Linked DNA regions of Elephas maximus indicus. The protein of the gene in region 1 interacts with the protein of each later gene in a pairwise test. Links are inferred from orthologs where the notes say so. Each region holds a gene or a part of one and is shown in the gene's direction. Other genes may lie near its edges. The genes, in order: GRB10 and GIGYF1.

Region 1 (8,776 bases):
AGAAACTACTGAATTGGTGTTTTGTAGTGTATATTCTCAACAGGAAAATAAAATTATGTGTATAAAAAGGGGGAAAAAAAAGACATCATAAAGAAAATGAAATTTCACGGGAACTCAAAGTAAGTGTTGCTATATAGCCCAAGGCCTGGGGAGACAGTAGGTGAAGGGCGTCTCTCTTCTGCCACATTTGGGTCTTTCTTTAGTATATCATCCTTAACATCTTTAGCCCAACTCACCTGTTCTTCACAGATGGCTCCCCTTATCCTGTCCCCTTCCAGTACGTATGGGTTCAAATTCCAAAGCAGGCATCTGATTGGCTGAGTTCATCCTTTGCCCACAGGCTGATCTATGGAATGGGAATCCTTGGTCAAAGCAATTGTTCTTAGAGACCAAGGAAAACCAGGGTTGTGGAGGCAAACCTCCAGTCAGGAAGAAAAATGGTAGGCCCATTATGGACATAACGTATAAATTTCTTAGCATGGCAAGTAAGACCCTTCTTGATCTGTCTCCTTCTTACCTAGTCTCTCGTCAAATCTCCTGACCACCCTTCCATGATCCCCAGGCTCAGCATTCTGACTAAGCGCAACTACTTGGTGTCCTTCAGTGAAGTGTTGTTCCCTGAAGGAGCCAAATTCTTCTTGGCTATAGTCCTAGAAAAGGTCCTTATTTGACAGATACGGTTTGTGCTTGACTGCTAACCTAAAGGTTGGTGGTTCGAACTCAGCCAGCAGTACCGTAGAAGAAAAGCCCTGGCAATCTCCTTCCATAAAGATTACAGTCAAGAGAACCCTATGGATCTCAGTTCTATTCTGCACACATGGGCTTGCAATGAGTCGGAATGGAGTCCACAGCAACCACCACCACCATAGTCCTAAGTACCTGCTTCTTCCTTTACCTGGAAGACCCTTTCTTTAGTTCTTTCTTTGACTAACTTACCAACTTTGATGCTCCAGGACGCCACTGGGGCGTGACCACCACTAGGAAGCTGTCCCTGAATGCCCCATCCCCCCAACTCTATACTCCAGGGCAACCTGCATTTCTCTAGTTCAGAGGTTTCAAAAAATCTTAGTGTTTGGAATACTGGTGTGCAGGTGGGTCTTGGTGGAGTTTGTGAAAAATGTCGCTTGACCCTGGAGTGCGACTCTCCTAGGGCTGGGACGGGCCCAGGAATCAGCCGTGCTTATGGGCCCCTGTGGCAGCAGTCGTTCGGTGGTAGCACTCTTGCCTTCCATGTGGGAGACCTGGGTTCAATTCCTGGCCAATTCACTTCATGTGCAGCAACCACCTGCCTGTGAGTGGAGGCTGGTTGTGTTGCTATGATGCTGGACAGGTTTCACCGTAGCTTCCAGACTAAGGCAGACTAGGAAGAAAGGCTCATGATCTATTTCCAAAAACGTCAGCCATTGAAAACCCTATGGATCATACTGGTCCAGAGTTGCCATGAGTTAGGGGTGACTGGACAGCTAACAACAACAAAAAAGCCCCTTTGGGGTACAGAGGCAGGCAGTCAGTTTATGCACTAGGATGTGAGTATTGCTGACTGCAGATCAATCCCCTACCTGCATTGGCACGTGCGTGGCTGAGTCATGTGACCAGTCTTAGCCCCAAGTGGCCAGATGTGAGGGGAACCTTTGACCAGGGCATTTAACTGTCAGGGTGCCACTTGCCCTGCTCCCCTTTCCTTTGCCAAGGCTACTGGTAATGTTTGAAACGACGGCTGCTCCATCAGGCCAGGTCTCGGTGTTTTCATTTGTTCCACTCGTTTCTTCTACTAATAAATTCCTTCACATGAGACTATTTCCCAGTAATGCTTATTTTGCTTAGTGCTCCCTCTGCTGGGATGACACTGGTGACCTCTCTCATCCTACTTACAGTCAAAAAGGGAGACAGACATTAGTCAGTTCATTACTAATTAGGAATTCGAATCGCTGAGATTCTCTGCTTTCAGCCAAATGAGTCTTACAACATATGTTCGGATAATTGAGTTCCTGCCTGTCACAAATCTTGTCTCCTGTCCTGAGACCTAACCTTCCAGCTAATACGTTTTTCTGTGGTGAAGTTCTTGAACTATAAAGACACTCTGCCTTGTGCCTACTAGGCTGGCTCTCTGTATAATTTATAGGCTGCATTGCTGTATTCCACTTCTGGCTTCCATCCTGAGGGAGGGAGCCTGTGGGCCATGGGCATCAGGAGTCTGGGGCAGGGAAGACAATCTGCCTACAGGAGTGGCTCGGGCAGGATGGCTGCGCTGAGGACAGCTGCCGCGTCTCCAGCCACAGGAGTGCCAAGATGCGTGAACTTGTATCAAAAAGTCGTACCGATCGTGTCCTGCCCAGAAAGGAGAGGCAGGCATGGATGTCTATGGGAAAAATGTGGGGAATAAAGCCCTGTCCTAGGAATTCTGGTGATGGATGTCAGTATGAAAACACTTGAGGACACTTATCTTAATCCTTTCTTAGTGAATAGTAATGTTTAAAAACCCATATATTTCCAGACAACTAAATGTAATACCTGACCATAGACTGGATGTTGTAAAGAAGAGGAAGAAAACACCATAAAGGACACTATCAGACTGACTGACAAAATTGGAATATAGATATAGATTAAAAAAAAAAAAAAAAAGATTAGACACAAGTATTTTATCAATGTAAATTTATGAATCTGAGAACTGTACTGTAGTTATGTAGATAACATTGCTATTCTTAGGAAAGATGGAAAGATATATCAGGTATGTATGGCAAAGGGCCATGGTGTATGTACCAAAATAAACCAGCTCCATCTAGTCCATTCCGACTCAGGGCAACCCCTTTTGTGTCTGGGGAGAACTGTGTTCCATAGCGTTTTTAATGGCTGAGTTTTTGGAAGTAGATTGCCAGGCCTTTCTTCTGAGGTGCCTCTGGGTAGACACAAACCTTCAACCTTTCAGTTAGCAGCTGAGTGCATTACAATTTGCACCACCCAGGGACTCCAAGGTGTATGTAATTACCCACAAATAGTTAAAAAAAAAAAGTATATGCATATTGGTACTTTTCAAATGCAGTCCCTGGATGGCACAATAGTTTAAGCACTCAAGGGCTAGTGAATAGGTTGGCGGTTCGAACCCACCCAGAGGCAGCTCAGAAGACAGTCCTGCTAATCTGCTTCTGAGATGTCACAGCCTTGAAAAGCCTATGGAGCAGCTCTATTCTGCACACGTGGGGTTGCCATGAGTTGGTATCCACCTGATGGCAACTAGTACTTTTCGAACATCTATAAAAGCCCCTGTCTCTCAAGCATTCTGGCTGCTGAAGACATGGACTGCTATAAGGTTCAAAGCATAGACATTTAAGAAGTTGACCAAAACCTAGTTTCTCTTCTTTCCTGTAGTCTTTACATTTTTCAAATCCCTTGCTTAAAATATAATCCCATGTGTTCCTTTTCCCTAGGAATCTTTCGTTCGCTCCATCCTCCCATGATTTTCATCTTAATGCTTTCTGAGCTTGGACCAATGGGTAGAAATGTTTCAGTTCCAGAAAAAGAAGTCTAGTACACAGAATACTGTGGGAAAAACCATTACTAGAAGGAAAAGAAATACAGAAACAAATGCTAAAAGGTGCCTAAAAAGGGCTTCAGGGTCCCTGGGTGATGCAAATGGTTAGGCATTTGGCTGCTAAACGAAAGGCCAGAAGTTCAAGTCCACCCAGAAGCACCTAGGGTGTCTGTCCGGCATGGCAATCTACTTCTGGACAAATCAGTCACTGAAAAACCCTATGCAGCACGTTTCTATTCTGACACACATGGGGTCACCATGAGATAACAATGGGTTTTCAAAAGTGCTTTGGCCTGGTAAATGGCATTGAATTCTTTCTCTGCCACTTACCAGCTACCTGGACTTTGGCAAATTATTTAGTACCTCCAAGACTCAGTGTCCAAGTCTGTGAAGTGGGTAGCTCCCAGTAACAACCTTAGAGGGCCAGGGTGCAGACTGAATGAAAGAATGAATGAGTGCTGGCACAAAGTATGTGTTCAATAAAAGTAAGTTACTGTTGTAGCTTTTTAAAAAACAACATTAAGGCCCAAAAAAGACATATTATTATTTTCCTCTTTGTATTATAATTTTGACAGCATAGACATAAGTAATCATATTAACGACAATAGTTTCCATCAACGCGGGGGTTCATTCCTGCCAGTGACTTTATGTTATGGGTATGACCTCATTTAACCCCCATGACTCTGAGGCCTGTGTTCTTATTAGCCCATTTCAAAGATAAGGACACAGGCTAAGCGACATTAAGGAAATATTCTGGTCTTCCCACTCTATCACCACTCTGATACTCACTTGCAGATGGGAAACTGAGGCCCAGAGTGGCAAAAGCCGCAAACCCACTGACTATGACTGACACTGGAAACCCAGGTTTCCTTTTCCTGGCCCGGGGACCGCCATCCCCACGACAGAGTACGGGCAGCTGCAATTTATCTGTCTCGTCCTGATGAAGAATTTTGGACTCGCCCAAGATGAAGAATTTGGACTGGATCGTTAATACTCCTGAGTTTCAAACATTCACTTACAAACTGCCTTTTGAAATAGTTCCGATCTCTCATTAGCTCTCGGTTCCCGCGTCCGCCCCGGCCCTAGGGCAGCAGGGGGAGGGGGTTCCGGGGCTCATCCACGGCTGCCTGTCCCTCCTCGCTCGCCTCAGGCACGGGCCGCGCAGACGCCGCCGGCGCCGCCCGGGGGATGCTCCGCCGAGGCCCCTGCCTTACTCTGCCCCGACGCCCTGCGCGTCACGCCCGGGCCGAGGCCACAGCTCCTCCCGCCGTGGCGGCTGCCCAGCGGTCCGGGCTGCGGCGGTGGCGGGAGGAGGAGCAGGAAAGGCGGCCGGGGGAGGAGGCGGAGGCGGAGGAGGCGGAGGAGGGGCGGGCGGGGCTGGAAGAGTTTAAAGCCCATTGGGGGGGGCGGGGAAGGCAGGCACGGAGGAAGGAAGGCAAAGGAGCTGGAGGCGCGGCGGGCCGGGAGGCGGCCGGCTGGACGGCGAGTGCGCGCCGCGGGCGGGCAGGGGTCGGGCACGGCTCTGGGAGACCAGGCGGTGACCACGCAGGACCGGCGGCGGCGGCGGAGCCAAAGTTTTCGCGCAGTCCTTCGGCGCGGCGCCGGCGCGGGTCCCGACCGGGTGACGGTCCTGCGCGCCTCTCTCAGTCCCCGCGGGGAGACCCAGCGCGGCGTCCGACCGGGCGGGAGTGTCGCCCGCGGCCACGCGGAGGCGGCCGGGGAACGGCGCCCGCAGCAGGTATGGAGCGGCCCCGCCGGCCGCGCGCCGCTGACTTGGGCGGGGAGCGCTGCGGGGAAGTTACTTTGTCGCTTGGTGTCCTCCGCGGGAGGGGCCGGGCTCGCCGGCCGGCCTGCCGGGCCCGGTTCGCCGGGAGCGGCCGGTCGCCGGCATTGTCTGCGCGCTCGCCGGCAGCGGCCAGAGCCGGCGGGCACCCCGGGAGGCGCGGGCGGGGCGGAAGGGCGTCGCCTCCGGGCGGGGGGCTCAGCCGCCCCGGGCCCGAGGCTGGAGGCACCAAGAGGCGGGGACTCGGGATGCGAGCGAGCGCGCTTGGAGCCGGCCGGGCGCTTCGCCCGGGGCTCTCTCCCGACTCCCTTCGCGACCCCTTGGGGGAGGTGTTGAGCGCAAACGGTGCATTCTTGAACCATCTTGTCAGACGCTAGCTGCACTCGCGGTGGGGGTGGGGGCCGAGGCCGCGCTCCCGGGGGGCTGCCCCGGGCTCGGGGAGGGCTAGCCGCGGGGCGCTTCTGCAGCCCCCTCCTTCCAACTGAGGTGGGGGCCGCGACGCTCGTGGCCTGGCCAGCCGCGGGGTCAGCGGTGCACGGGCACTCCCAAGTCCAGAGCGCTGCGCGGCCTGGGACTCCGGCCCGCGGGGAATTTTTTTTTTTTTTTTTTTTTGGCTTTGTTAGTCACCCCGTTACCCCCTTCTGGGCCTAACATCAAGTTGAGGGCTCGCGGATTAGCCGCCGCGCCAGCCGTGGAAATGTGATAAGAGCGATACCGTTTGCAGAAGGAAATTTCTGATGCAATGCTCTGCCTTTTCTGATTGCCTCTCCAAACGCCTGCCTGGTGACGGTACTCAAGCATGTGCGTTATGGAAATTAGGGTATTTACTTTTTATGCGGCTTTTCTTTTTTCGGGATTGGAAGAAACGCTACATTTTTGTTGTTTGCTTTGACTGAAACCTTGGGTAATGTAGAGGAGCCACAGGTGACTTTTACACGGCCCTGAATCTTTAGGATACATTTAAGAAATGTTTTCCTGCAAATGTAGTACCCCGTTTCATTCAAGAGATGCAAAGAAAAGAACCCAAATAAGTAGCGCTCTTGAGTAAATATGCATTATTGCACAACTTTCTCTTTGCTGCTGTTTAAAAGGCCAGGCCCAGAACACTTTGTTTCTGAAAATGCTGATTCAGCCGTTTGGAGCTCCTGAGTTTCAGAAGCGGTGCCGTATTTAACGTTTCGCTCAGTTTTTACCAGGAGGAACACATGTCAGCGCTGCAGCACAGCACTGACCGAGGTGTGGGCCACAGTGCTAGTCAGTTTTCCCAAGTCTTGACCAAGAGTTTCATCTTTTCTTTCTTGGAGGAAAAATAGGTGGGAGCTAGGTTTCTGCAAGAAGAAATTCTGGTCTGTGGCAACGGTGAAATGTCTTTTAGGGGAGTGTGTTGTTCTGTCAAAGCCATGAAACCAAATGTATCTCCAGGAATGCTTCTAGGTGTCTTAGTAGTTCTGTTAAAAATCAAAACTCTAGGATTACTGCACATACTGTTTGAGTTTTACCAGGAGCATTTGAAAGAAGGGGCCACACAGGCCAATCCCTAGATTACAGGGAGGGGATTTGAGGACAGACCAAGTCACACACCCAGCAGCATTGCCTGTGTAACTGAGAAGTGTAGCGACTGACACTGCTGTAGCATTTCAGTTTACAAGGCACTTTCAAAAGCCTTGCTGCTTTTAATCCTTCTACAGCTTCCTGATCCCCATTTTACAGATGTGGAAACCAAGGCTCAGGAGGTTAACGGGTATGCCCAAGGTCCCCAAACAGCAAATGGCAGAGCTGTACCTGAGCCTAAGCCTTGAATTCTTTTTAGTCCTGTGTGTTTTATACTTCTGCACAAGTACATCCTCTCAAAAAGGGTGATGGCAGCAGGGAGGAGGCACACCCCTCAGTCACACGGACAACTAGGAGGACCTGTGACCCTTGTTTAGCCCCCGGCACCAAGCATTCAAGATTTCTGCCCTATTGCCATGCTGCCGTCAATATTTTTTTTTAGCCCATTCACATTGTATACTTAAAAGTTGTTAGCTGCCTTTCAGTTGGCTCCTGACTCATGCAAATGGGAACAAAACGCAGCTTGGTCCTGCTCCTTCTCCATGATCAAGTTGTGGATTGGACCGTTGTGATCCGTAGGGTATTCATTGGCTGATTTTGGAAGTAGGTCGCCAGGCCTTTCTTCCTACTCCATCTTTAGTCTGGAAGCTCCACTGAAATCTGTTCAACACCATAGCAGTACGCAAGGCTCTACTGACAGGTAGTGACTGTGCCTGAAGTGTACTAGCCAGGAATCGAATTCGGGCCTCCTGCATGGAAGGCAAGAATTCTGCCACTAATCAAAATGCCTCACGTACTTAAGTAGGTGTTTATTTTAAGAAGAACCTTTGATATTCATGAAGTCATGGGTTTAATATGATAGTTACGTTTTTTGCGAGTTGTGTACCCCTAAAGTCACCTGTTGGGTATCACTCGTGGTTTGCTGCATTGCTTTTGTGGTAGTGTTTGACTGGTCAAAACACTTGCCATTTTGTGGACTAGGAACCCGGGAGCTGGGCAGATTCATGTCAGTTACTTAGCCAGGGCTTTGTGGTCTGATGGGAGCCACCAGGATTGGAACCCATGGCAGCCCTGGCTCAGTCACAGCAACCGGCTCTGTGTGCCCTCTGCCTTTACTGGAAGAAAAGAGCAGAATCAGAATTTAAGAGCAAACTCAGCAGTTCTTATTTTGATGACTTGGCTGGGTCTGAGACTTTGCAATGTATAGAAACCATACTCTAGCTTGAACAAAGACATCTTTTGTGCCTTCAGCTTCATCCCAGAGGTGTAAAAATTCTTGGTTTGTATATCTGATAAAAACTAATGCTTTAAAGGTGGTATAATTTAAGGAACCTATTTCCTTGGACTTCTGTCCAGCTCTGAATTGCAGGGGGAAGAAGCCTATACAGTGGCAGAATGTATGTTAGCTGTATCTAAGTTTGTGGTTCAGTGGTTAAGCATTCAGCTGCTAACCAAAAGGTCGGCAGTTAGAATCCATCAGCTGTTCCTTGGAAACCCTTTGGGGCGGTTCTACTCTGTCCTGTAGGGTTGCTGTGAGTTGGCATCGAGTCGATGGCAGCAGGTTGGGTTGAAGTTAGTTTAAGGAGCTCTAGTGGTGCAGTGGTGAAATGCTCTGCTGCTAACCGAAAGGTTGACAGTTCGAACCTACCAGCTGCTCTGTGACAGAAAGACATGGCAATCTGCTTCTGTAAAGATTTACAGCCTTGGAAATCCTATGTGGCAGCTCTGCTTTGTCCTGTAGGATCACTATGAGTCGGAAGTGACTCTGGCAATTTTTTTTTTTTTTTTTTAGGGTTAGTTTGCCTTCCTTTTGGAATTCAGCAAGCTAATTGCTTGAGATTTCTGAATTTCTGTCCTGTTTGGTGCCTGATGGGGTGGAAGCCTGTGCTTTGCACATTTTCTGGGTAATCTGG
Region 2 (9,205 bases), on another chromosome or scaffold:
AAAGATTCCATAAAAGAATCCTGATCAAAAGGGGGAAATGCTGCACAGAGTTTCAATGTTTTTATGGACTCTAGACTTCCTGGAGCCACGGAGGCTGGATGAACCCCTGAAACAATTGCTCTAAGATAATCTTTAAATCTTAAACCAAAAATATCCCCTGAAATCTTCTTAAAATCAGACAATAGTTTAACTTACCTAGTAAAGAATGTCTGCCTTGAGCACTGCGCTCTCTCAAGATTTATCTACATGGGATCAAACTGACAACAGCAACTTGAAAGGTTAGATAGGAAACTTAGGGGACAGTGAGTTTATTAATGGGAGAGGAACAACTCAGAAAAGGAGAGTGAGAACGGTTGTACAACCCAAAGAATATAATCAATGTCACTGAACTGTACATGTAGAAACTGTTGAATTAACGTGTGTGTATATTCTCAAGAAAATAAATAAAATTTTTGAAAAGATTGATTTAGCTATTTAGGGTCCCTTGCCCTTCCATACAAATTTGAGGATGGGCTTTTCCATTTCTGCATGGAAAGCTGTTGGAATTTTGATGGGGACTGCAGTGAATTTATAGATTGCTTTGCATAGTATTGACATCCTAACTATAGCAAGCCTTCAAACCCACAAACATGGAATGTCCTTCCATTTATTTAGGTCTTCTTTGATTTCATTTAGAAATGTTTTACAGTTTTCTGTGCACATGTCTTTCTCCTTCCTAGTTAAAATTATTCCTAGGTATTTTATTAGTGGAAACCCTGGTGGCGTAGTGGTTAAGTGCTACAGCTGCTAACCAAAGGGTCAGCAGTTCGAATCTGCCAGGCACTCCTTGGAAACTCTATGGGGCAGTTCTACTCTGTCCTATAGTGCTGCTATGAGTCGGAATCAACTCGACAGCACCGTGTTTGGTTTTTTTTTTTTTTTTTTGCCTATTGTAAATAGTAATGTTTCCTTGATTTTCTTTTCTACTTGTTCATTGCTTGTGTATTAAAAACCCAACTGCTTTTTGTGTGTGGTCTGTCTTATTAACAATACACCTAACATTTGCAGACCAGTTTACCCCTAATAGTGTGCTTTATTGAGGCATTCTCTCTTCCTGTCCTCACATCAACTCCACCAAGTGGCTATTATCCAAATATAAAGAAAGTTCCACGTTGTTTGGGGTTATGAAATTGTCAGGCGTACTTTTAACTTTAAAGCACTGTGACAAGTGCTTTATGATACAAACCACCCCAGACAGAGAGGTTAACCAACTTGCCCAAGGCCACAGTCAGTACAGGATGGAAGCAGCGCGGGAGTCCTCACTCTGAGCCGCTGCATTTTCTAGCCTGTGAGCAAGCAGCTTGCCTGACCACATAGAAGGAGCAGTGGATAATAGAAAGCTGCTGTTCCAAATCCCCGAAATATTGCCACCCTTGTTACGTAGGCCGATCAGAAAACTTAATTCATGGCCAAAAGTAATTCTGAATGTAATACATTAATGTTAAGGCCCACTGTGTCTGAAATAATTTACTACAAGCACAGTTTAGGGACATGGCAAATTGAGTTCCTTTACGCGGCCTTTTGCTTTGGTTCTTTGGGAAAAACCAGCTTGGGAGATTTTCCCCCTTAAACTCTTTTTCCTAATTTTTCGGAGAAGCAATGTGGGCGGGGGCTCCCAGGTTATTTTCTACCCCAAACGGTGTATTACTTTTGCCCAAGGGATCTTCTAGGTTAATTGACATTTCCTGGGTAAACTGTAAAAGCAACTTGATGGTTTGATACTTCCCCCTGATAACTAACAAGACCTGAGTTGATTGACATTGCAGGGGTTGACTGAGGATTGGTTGAACTGGTCTGATGAGGGAGGCCTCGCCTTGTAACTGACAAGGATCAGGATATATAAATGGCTGAACTGCAGAAGTTTTGAGAGGCCTCCTGGAAGAGAGAGGGAGATACTGGCTAAGAGCTGCCCAACAGAGAAGCAGAGCCACGTGGGAACTGAGTGATCTTGAAGCTGCTACACTGGCTGGGGTAGTTAGCAGCAAAGAGGCCTACTTCTGAACAGTTGCTACGCGGGCGGTTAACTGGCCCAATTAGCAGCAAAGAGGCTGAAGGCGGATAGCCTGAAAGCAGAGCACCCAACAGCAGAGAGGTCCAACAGCAGAAAGTTGCTGCTAGCAGAGCAGCAGCTAAGAAAGCTGACTAGGCTGTTACACTGGCTATGAGCTGGGCCAGTTAGCCATGGAAGAGCCGATGGCAGAGAGGTCTGACGGTACAGAGCTGCTACTAGCAGAGCAGCAGCTGAGAAAGCTGAGCAGGCTGCTATACTGGCTATGAGCTGGGCCAGTTAGTGGCAGGGAGCCTGACAATGGAGGGGCCTGCAAGGCAGAGAAGACAGCCACCTGGCAGAGAAGCCACACCCAACTGATCACTGGAGGCCTGTGTGTTTCCTGACACGGATCCTGCGTTCTTGCAACTTCCAAGCTGATACGGTCCTGAGTTATATAACCTGTTAACTTTCCTAATAAACCGCATAACTGTGAGTATGGTCTGTGAGTTCTGTGAGGCCACTGCAATAAATTATCAAGTCCTGCAGAGAAGTAGAGTGTCACGGGGGGAGTGGCTGGTGTCAGAAATTATGGAGAAAGTGGGGAGGCAGAGTTATAGCTGAACCTCCGCCCCACTGGAACCAGTTTTGTGCTGATCCTGTTTCTTACTCCTCAGGAATTTAGACAACTTATGAGGCTTTGCTTTAATCAGGAGCCCTGGTAGCGTGGTGGTTAATAAATCAGCTGGTAACCAAAAGGTCAACAGTTTGAATCCACCAGCCACTCCTCGGAAACCTTGTGGAGCAGTTCTACTCTGTCCTATAGGGCTGCTATGAGTCGGAATCGACTTGACGCAACAGGTTTTTTTTTGTCACTTTAATGAACTATCACCACATTGCTCAGGCTGTGTGTCTTTTCATGGTATTTGACACATGTTTTACAAGTGTTGATATCCAGCTAAATATAAACATTGGCAATTTAGGTGGGTGAAGTCAGTCTCTGTAATAAACTGATTTAACAACAAGAGAGTCCTTATCTCTTTACATTTCATTGAAGGAAAACACCACAGATGAACCTGGCATTATAAAAAAGGCAGAGATTGGCTGTTAGTCTTGAGACCTCCCTTTTATCTCAATTAATCATCTTAACTAAATCTTTGTTAAGTTCAAACGTTTGCAAATTGAAAACAACCCAGATCAAGACATTCTACAGCATAGCACCTGAATAAACAAAAGTATTTTAGGTCCAAGTGACTGTTTTCATAATACCGGATGGGAGATTCACAGTTCAGATTTAATTGTTTCCTTCCTCAAAGAGGCAGCCTATACATTCAGTGTCATCAGAAACAGCCCTCCCACTTTAGAGTCGGGGAGATTAAATGACTTGCAAAATGATACACAGGGGATCCTGCGCAATCGCCCCAACCTTCTACCCTGGAATCCAGTGTGCTGTCCTTATTATGCTACATCCACAGTGGTTTCTACTCTCAAACGCAGACTTTCACAGCAGCATTCCAGCCCCTCAACTTAAGTTTCACTTCATTTCTTGTTCAACTAGCGGTTCAGGATCCTCTTCTCTCATCAGCCCGGACTGTCACTCTTCACAAACCTACACACACTTTTCCTACCAGTTGCCATTGAGTAGAACTGCGCTCCATAGGGTTTTTATGGCAGTGACCTTATAGAAGCAGATGGCCAGGCCTTACCTCCAAGGGGTATCTAGGTGGGTTCGAACCACCAACCTTTTGGCTAGTAGCTGAGTGCTTAATCATTTGCACTACCCAGGAACTTCTGCACTTTTCCTAAATCTATCCAAATCCTGCCCTTCCCACCAGATCAGCTCAAACAGCCAGTGTCCTGGCTGCTTCCACCCCACAGAGACCCACCCTCTTTTTCCCTGTATAATCTCTTTACCATAGTTTACAATCTCGTTTGCTTATTAAATTGAGAGATTAGGCTGCTGGTAACTTCAACCACCTAGAACATAACTCCAATCCAGAAAAGTAAACCACCAACAAAAGCTTTTAAGTAGAAAAAACAGTGGCCATACACTTATTTTATTCTAGCAGTTCTCTGACTCAAGCTGCGTTCTGCTGATACACATTTTCATAGTGTTAACTGTCCTGAATATTGCGTTTCACAAATCACATTAAACCAGAAGCCCCTATTAGCTAACATTTGTGGAGTGTTTGGCTTGACGAGTACCATGCTAAATGCTTTAGGATACAAACCACAAAAGACAGGTTAACCAACTTGCCCAAGGTCACAGTCAGTAAGGGATGGAGTCCTTATTCTTAACCACTGCATTTTCCAGCCAGTAAGCAAGCAGCTTACAAGACAAGCAAGACAACACAGAAGCAGGAAAGCCAACAAAACTTAAAAAACAGACACTGCCTGGACTCTCTGTTGACCCCAAACTAAAACCATTCCTGGAGCCAAATCTTCAGACAGAGATGACTGTACTGTAAGACATAAAATGATACTCCCGAAGACTGTGCTTCTTAGTTCAAGTAGATAAAAGTAGATACGTGAGACTAAATTGGCAGTTCCTGTGTAGAGGTGAGATGAAAAGGCAGAAAGGGACAGGAGCTGGTTGAATGGACACGGGAAATACAGGATGGAAAGGAGTGTGCTGACATAGGGATAGCAACTAGGGTCACATACCAATGTGTGTATAAATTTTTGTATGAGAAACCAACTTGAGCTATAAACTTCCACTTAAAGCATGCTTAAAAAAAAAAAAAAAAGACTAAAACTACAGTGCACAGAAGCAAGAGGGTGCTTACTGAAGGAACAAAGGGCCTTCGAGATCACTCCTGAAGTCCACATTCTGTTAAGGTACCACACAAGGGACTCAAGTTCCAAGTCATGAACTTACTTTCCCGTCATGAAAAGGATTACATTGTGTTTGGTAACAGCTGTTTTAGAAAGTGGGAAAGTAAAGTCTACATTCTGGAATGACTTCCAAAGAAAACGACGAACACACACGCAAAACTTTTTCATCCTAAAAATTTCAGCGATTCGGAGGAGTCATTCTTGAAAACCTCTTTTTTAAACAAACGAAGTTTCAGCCTAACGTCTCACATTTACATAGTAGTTTGTCTCTTTCCAAAGCTTTCACATTCACCTATTTAAATTCTTACAGCAATCAATGAAGGGAACGCGGGGGTGGGTGGTGGGAACAGCATTAACACCCCTCTGTAAAAAAGACGGCACTATTTTTTTTTTTTTTTTTAAATAAAAAAGAAGCTGGGGCTCGAAACCTTCAACTCATTCGCCCGAGATCTAGAAGCTGAACCAGAAACTCCAGGTCTCACAAGCCACTGCCGCCTGGGACTGTTTCTAAGTGATGAGGTTCTTCGCTTATTTCACATATCCCAAGATGCATAATGCACATTTCTCGATTTTGTCTCTTTCAATCCAGGCGGGCTTCCTGAAGGAAGCCGACTGGTCAGGAATTGGCGAAGATGCCACTAGCCCTGGTCTCAGTCCCGAGGGTCCCGCGTCACGTGCCGGGGGTACCCCCGGGAGCTCAGGGAGAACCCCGGGGGCATCCCCCCGCCCCGCCAGCAGCAGGCCTCACGTCACGTGACGAGCCAGGCTCCCGGGTCACGTGCCGGGGCGTTCGGCGGGGCGGGCGTCAGTGCCGCGCCCCTCTGGACACGCGGGGAGCGCGCGAGGCCGTGCGGGGTCCGAGCCCGCGGGAGCCGCGGAGGGCGGTGGCGGCGACGGCGGAGGGGGCGGCCCCGCGTCCCCGCGTCCGCGTCACGTGGTGCGAGGCGGGCAGCCATCTTGCTACAAACACAAACAGAGAGGAGCGGCCGCCGCGGGAGCGCCAGCGCCCCCTCCCCCGCCGCCGCTGCCCGCCCGCCGCCCGCCCTCCGCGCGCCGCCAACGCCCTGGGACCGAACCTCGCGCCACCCGCCCGCGGTAAGCGCTCGGCGGCTTCGTGGACCCCGGCCCGCAGCCGGGCCTGGGGCAGGCCCGCCCCCGACGCCGAGGCGGCCGCGCGGAGCCTGCGAGAGCCAGAGCGCGGGCCGCCGGCCGGACCCTCCCCCGTCTCCTCCCCGAGGTCGCCGTCGCCTGCCCGGTGCGTCCGCCCTCTCGGCCCCTCCCCGACGCCCGCCGGCGGACCCTCCCCCGAAGCGGGCCGTGCCCCCGCGCGCCCTCAGAGCCCAGGGCCCTCCTGGCGCCGCTCGCCCTTCACCCCGCGCCCCGCGCACCTGGCGCCCCCTCCCTGAAGGGCACGTTGTCCTCCCCGGCCCGGCCCGCCTCCTCCCCACCCCCGCGCTCCTAACGGTCGCCCCTTCGGGCCCTTCCCAAATTCTGCCCGGGGCGGAGAGCCGATCTCCCCCGGGGGCCTCATCCCACCCGCTCGCATCCTCCGCCGGGCCCGCCGAGGGGGTCCCCGACCCTAATGGTCAGCTCTTCACAGAGCCCGTGCTGTGTGACTGGCGCTTCCTGGAGATTTTCCCCAACACGCCTCGGTGTTCTTGTGGGAATCAGCTGGGCCTTGCGGGGCTTAAAGTCCAAGCGTTCATGACTTTGGAAGCCTTTTCCCGTAATCAGACATCTCGACTGGTTCTTCACTAAAATTTCCTTTCAGCAAGCGACGTTAGTGCTTGGTCATTGGGGTCTCCTTCCTCCCAGTTGCTTGTCAGTATTAAACATCTTCTTTAACAGAGACTCTTTAATCCTTCACCAAGCTAGGCCCTCACACGCACCTCCTCAGCCCATCTCCCCTGATGCGGCAGCTCCTTGGCCACAGCCCCTCAGGTTTTGCATTTTTTCAGGTAACTGCAGAGAGACCCTTATCTTTATCACTTTTTACCCAGTCATTACCAGAATTCCCAGTAAGCTTCCACGTTTCTTCCATCGAAGTGCTTGGCACTGATAGATGCTAAATGCATACTTGGCTGGCTCTTGCCTCTGCCCACCCCAGTTTTACTCCTCTCTTGTTTCTCAAAGTCCTGTTTTCCCAAAGTTCGTGGGCTTCCCCCCAGCCTCTCCCACAGCCCCTCCAGGCTAACACGCCAGTTTCAATTTACCCGCTGCCCCTTTGCCTTGGGAAGTGAAACCATCAGTACTAATAGGCCAGTCCTGGTCTGCTTCTCCCAATATGAGTTGTCTTTGATTCTTTCCCATTTCTACTCTTCCCTTTGCAATCCCAGGCCACCCACTCTCCACCCTAGCTCGTTTTATTTCCTAGATTGTTTGGGTCTGTGTCCCCATTGTCATGTAACTGGGAAAGGTTTGGGGGCAAATCCGCCCTCTCCTCGGGGGGCAGGGGCCTGTAAGGTCTCCTATGGTGACTGAAGTCTAGAGAGTTGAGTGCTTAGACTTCTGGACTAGCTTTTTCAGCTAGTGGGTGCATTAGTGTTGTGTGTGATGCGATGGATAAAGGACCCAGTTTGGCCTGACTTTTACATCTGTGGTTGGAGTTTGGGGTAGAAAAAGTAGCCATATTTAAGAGGAGAGAAGGTGAGAAGAGGCTGCGTGAGGGTTTAAAAAAAAAAAAAAAAAGTCTGACAAAATAAAAATGGTTTTAAACACACAAAGTATGCCTGAGCGTTTGGGACAGTTAACTGTTGCTGGGCGATCCATCTCCAGTCTGGGATGGTGCTGAGGGAGGTTGGGAAACCCTGTTGAGCAGCTGCAGCTTACTTTCTTATTTTCCCTGGCTGGAGCCCCAGACTGAAAAAGGAAAAGTGTGAAAGCACTCTAAAAACCGATAAATAGTATACAAATGCCAGGTGGCATTATTATTTACCATGAGGGCTTAGAGCGTAGAGAGCTGGGGCCAGCCAGAAAGAACACAGGCTTGTACGCCCCTTTTAAGCCTCACCGTTCTCACCCAGTGGAGAATCTTTCCATCCTGAGAAAGGGCCGAGTCACCTTCGCAGACTTGGGGCTGGGCGACTGCTCCAGATGCTGGGAATTTGGAATTCTCCTGTTAATCGTGGTACCATGCTGTGCCAAGGGCCACTGCTCTGGATTGGGCCAATTTTAGAGGCGATGGGGTGTGGAAATAACGGTCTTTACTTAGTGGGTATCGGGACCACTTGTTTTTGGGTCTTTTCCTTCTCTTGAGTTCTGAACTCTGCCAGGCTTCCTTCTGTCCCCTCCAGCCTGTGTGAGGACCAGTGTATGTCCTCTCTGCTAATCTCCAGCAGGGGGCAGCCTTTTAATGGCAGTAATTCCCATGCTAGAGCAGTGAGCAGATGCTCTTGGGTATTGTTGGTAGGTGCTGTCAAGTCAGTTTTGACTCATAGTGACCCCATATGATGGCAGAACTGCCCCATAGGGTTTTCTGGGCTGTAATCTTTACAGGAGCAGGTCACCAGGTCTTTCTCCACCAGAGCAGCTGAATTGGTTTGACCCACCCAAGTTTGGTTAGCAGCAGAGCACCTAACTTTTGTACCACCTGAGTGTGTATTGAGGCCCAAGAAAGAGAAGAAATGGAAGGATAGGGAATGGGCAGATGTCGTATGTGGTAGGCATACTGAGGCAGTACAGAGAGGTAGTGGATAAGCTGGAAGGGGCCATGTGAGAAAAGCCAGGAAAATGTAAGGCAGAAAAGAATGCGGTCCCTAGTTTTCTGCTGTCTGTCTCTCCAGCTCTGGCCTTCATAGGAAGGGGATCCAAATGCTTTGTTTGAGAGTTTGTGATAGAGAAACTTTTTCCCCCTTTAAGCTATTTTCTCAAGGCTTTCTCTCCTGGGACAGTATCATAAGGGAAGGATTTTCCCACTGTTCACAGGAGAGAATGAACTGAGTAAATGTGGTTTTTGTCCTTTACCCTTCCTCATAAACACAGAACGGGCATTACCTGTGTTCACACGGAAGAGGAGGGTTTCTTAACAGTGGCACACTTGACTTTTGGGGCCAGATAATTCTTCGTGGTGGGGGTTGTCCTGTACATTGTTCAACAGCATCCTTGGCCTCTACCCACTAGCAGCCAGTAGCAACCTTTTTCCCAGTTGTGGTGATGAAAAATGTCCATCAAATACCCCCTGGGGAGCAGAGCTGCACCTTGTTTTGCGGGGGGGGGGGTGCCATCTGTGCTGCTTGACAGTGGTTCATTTGGTCTGAGGAAGGATCAGGCAGCCATCCAGCTTCTGGGACCCCAAACCCCTCTCTGGCAGGTCCTAAAGACTTGAACTTTGACTCCTAGCTTCTC

What was found.
Region 2: the proteins of GRB10 (region 1) and GIGYF1 interact in a two-hybrid assay, tested with the Homo sapiens proteins (2 studies listed by BioGRID). The link is inferred for Elephas maximus indicus from reciprocal best matches to the Homo sapiens genes GRB10 and GIGYF1.

The regions. Positions count from the first base shown.
Region 1 is NC_064826.1:112,565,163-112,573,938, forward strand, and holds the start of GRB10 (growth factor receptor-bound protein 10), read left to right. Parts: upstream 1-4,959; 5' UTR 4,960-5,267; intron 5,268-8,776.
Region 2 is NC_064830.1:92,094,691-92,103,895, reverse strand, and holds the start of GIGYF1 (GRB10-interacting GYF protein 1), read left to right. Parts: upstream 1-5,691; 5' UTR 5,692-5,956; intron 5,957-5,987; exon of another isoform or gene 5,988-6,116; intron 6,117-9,205. UniProt on the Homo sapiens protein: May act cooperatively with GRB10 to regulate tyrosine kinase receptor signaling. May increase IGF1 receptor phosphorylation under IGF1 stimulation as well as phosphorylation of IRS1 and SHC1.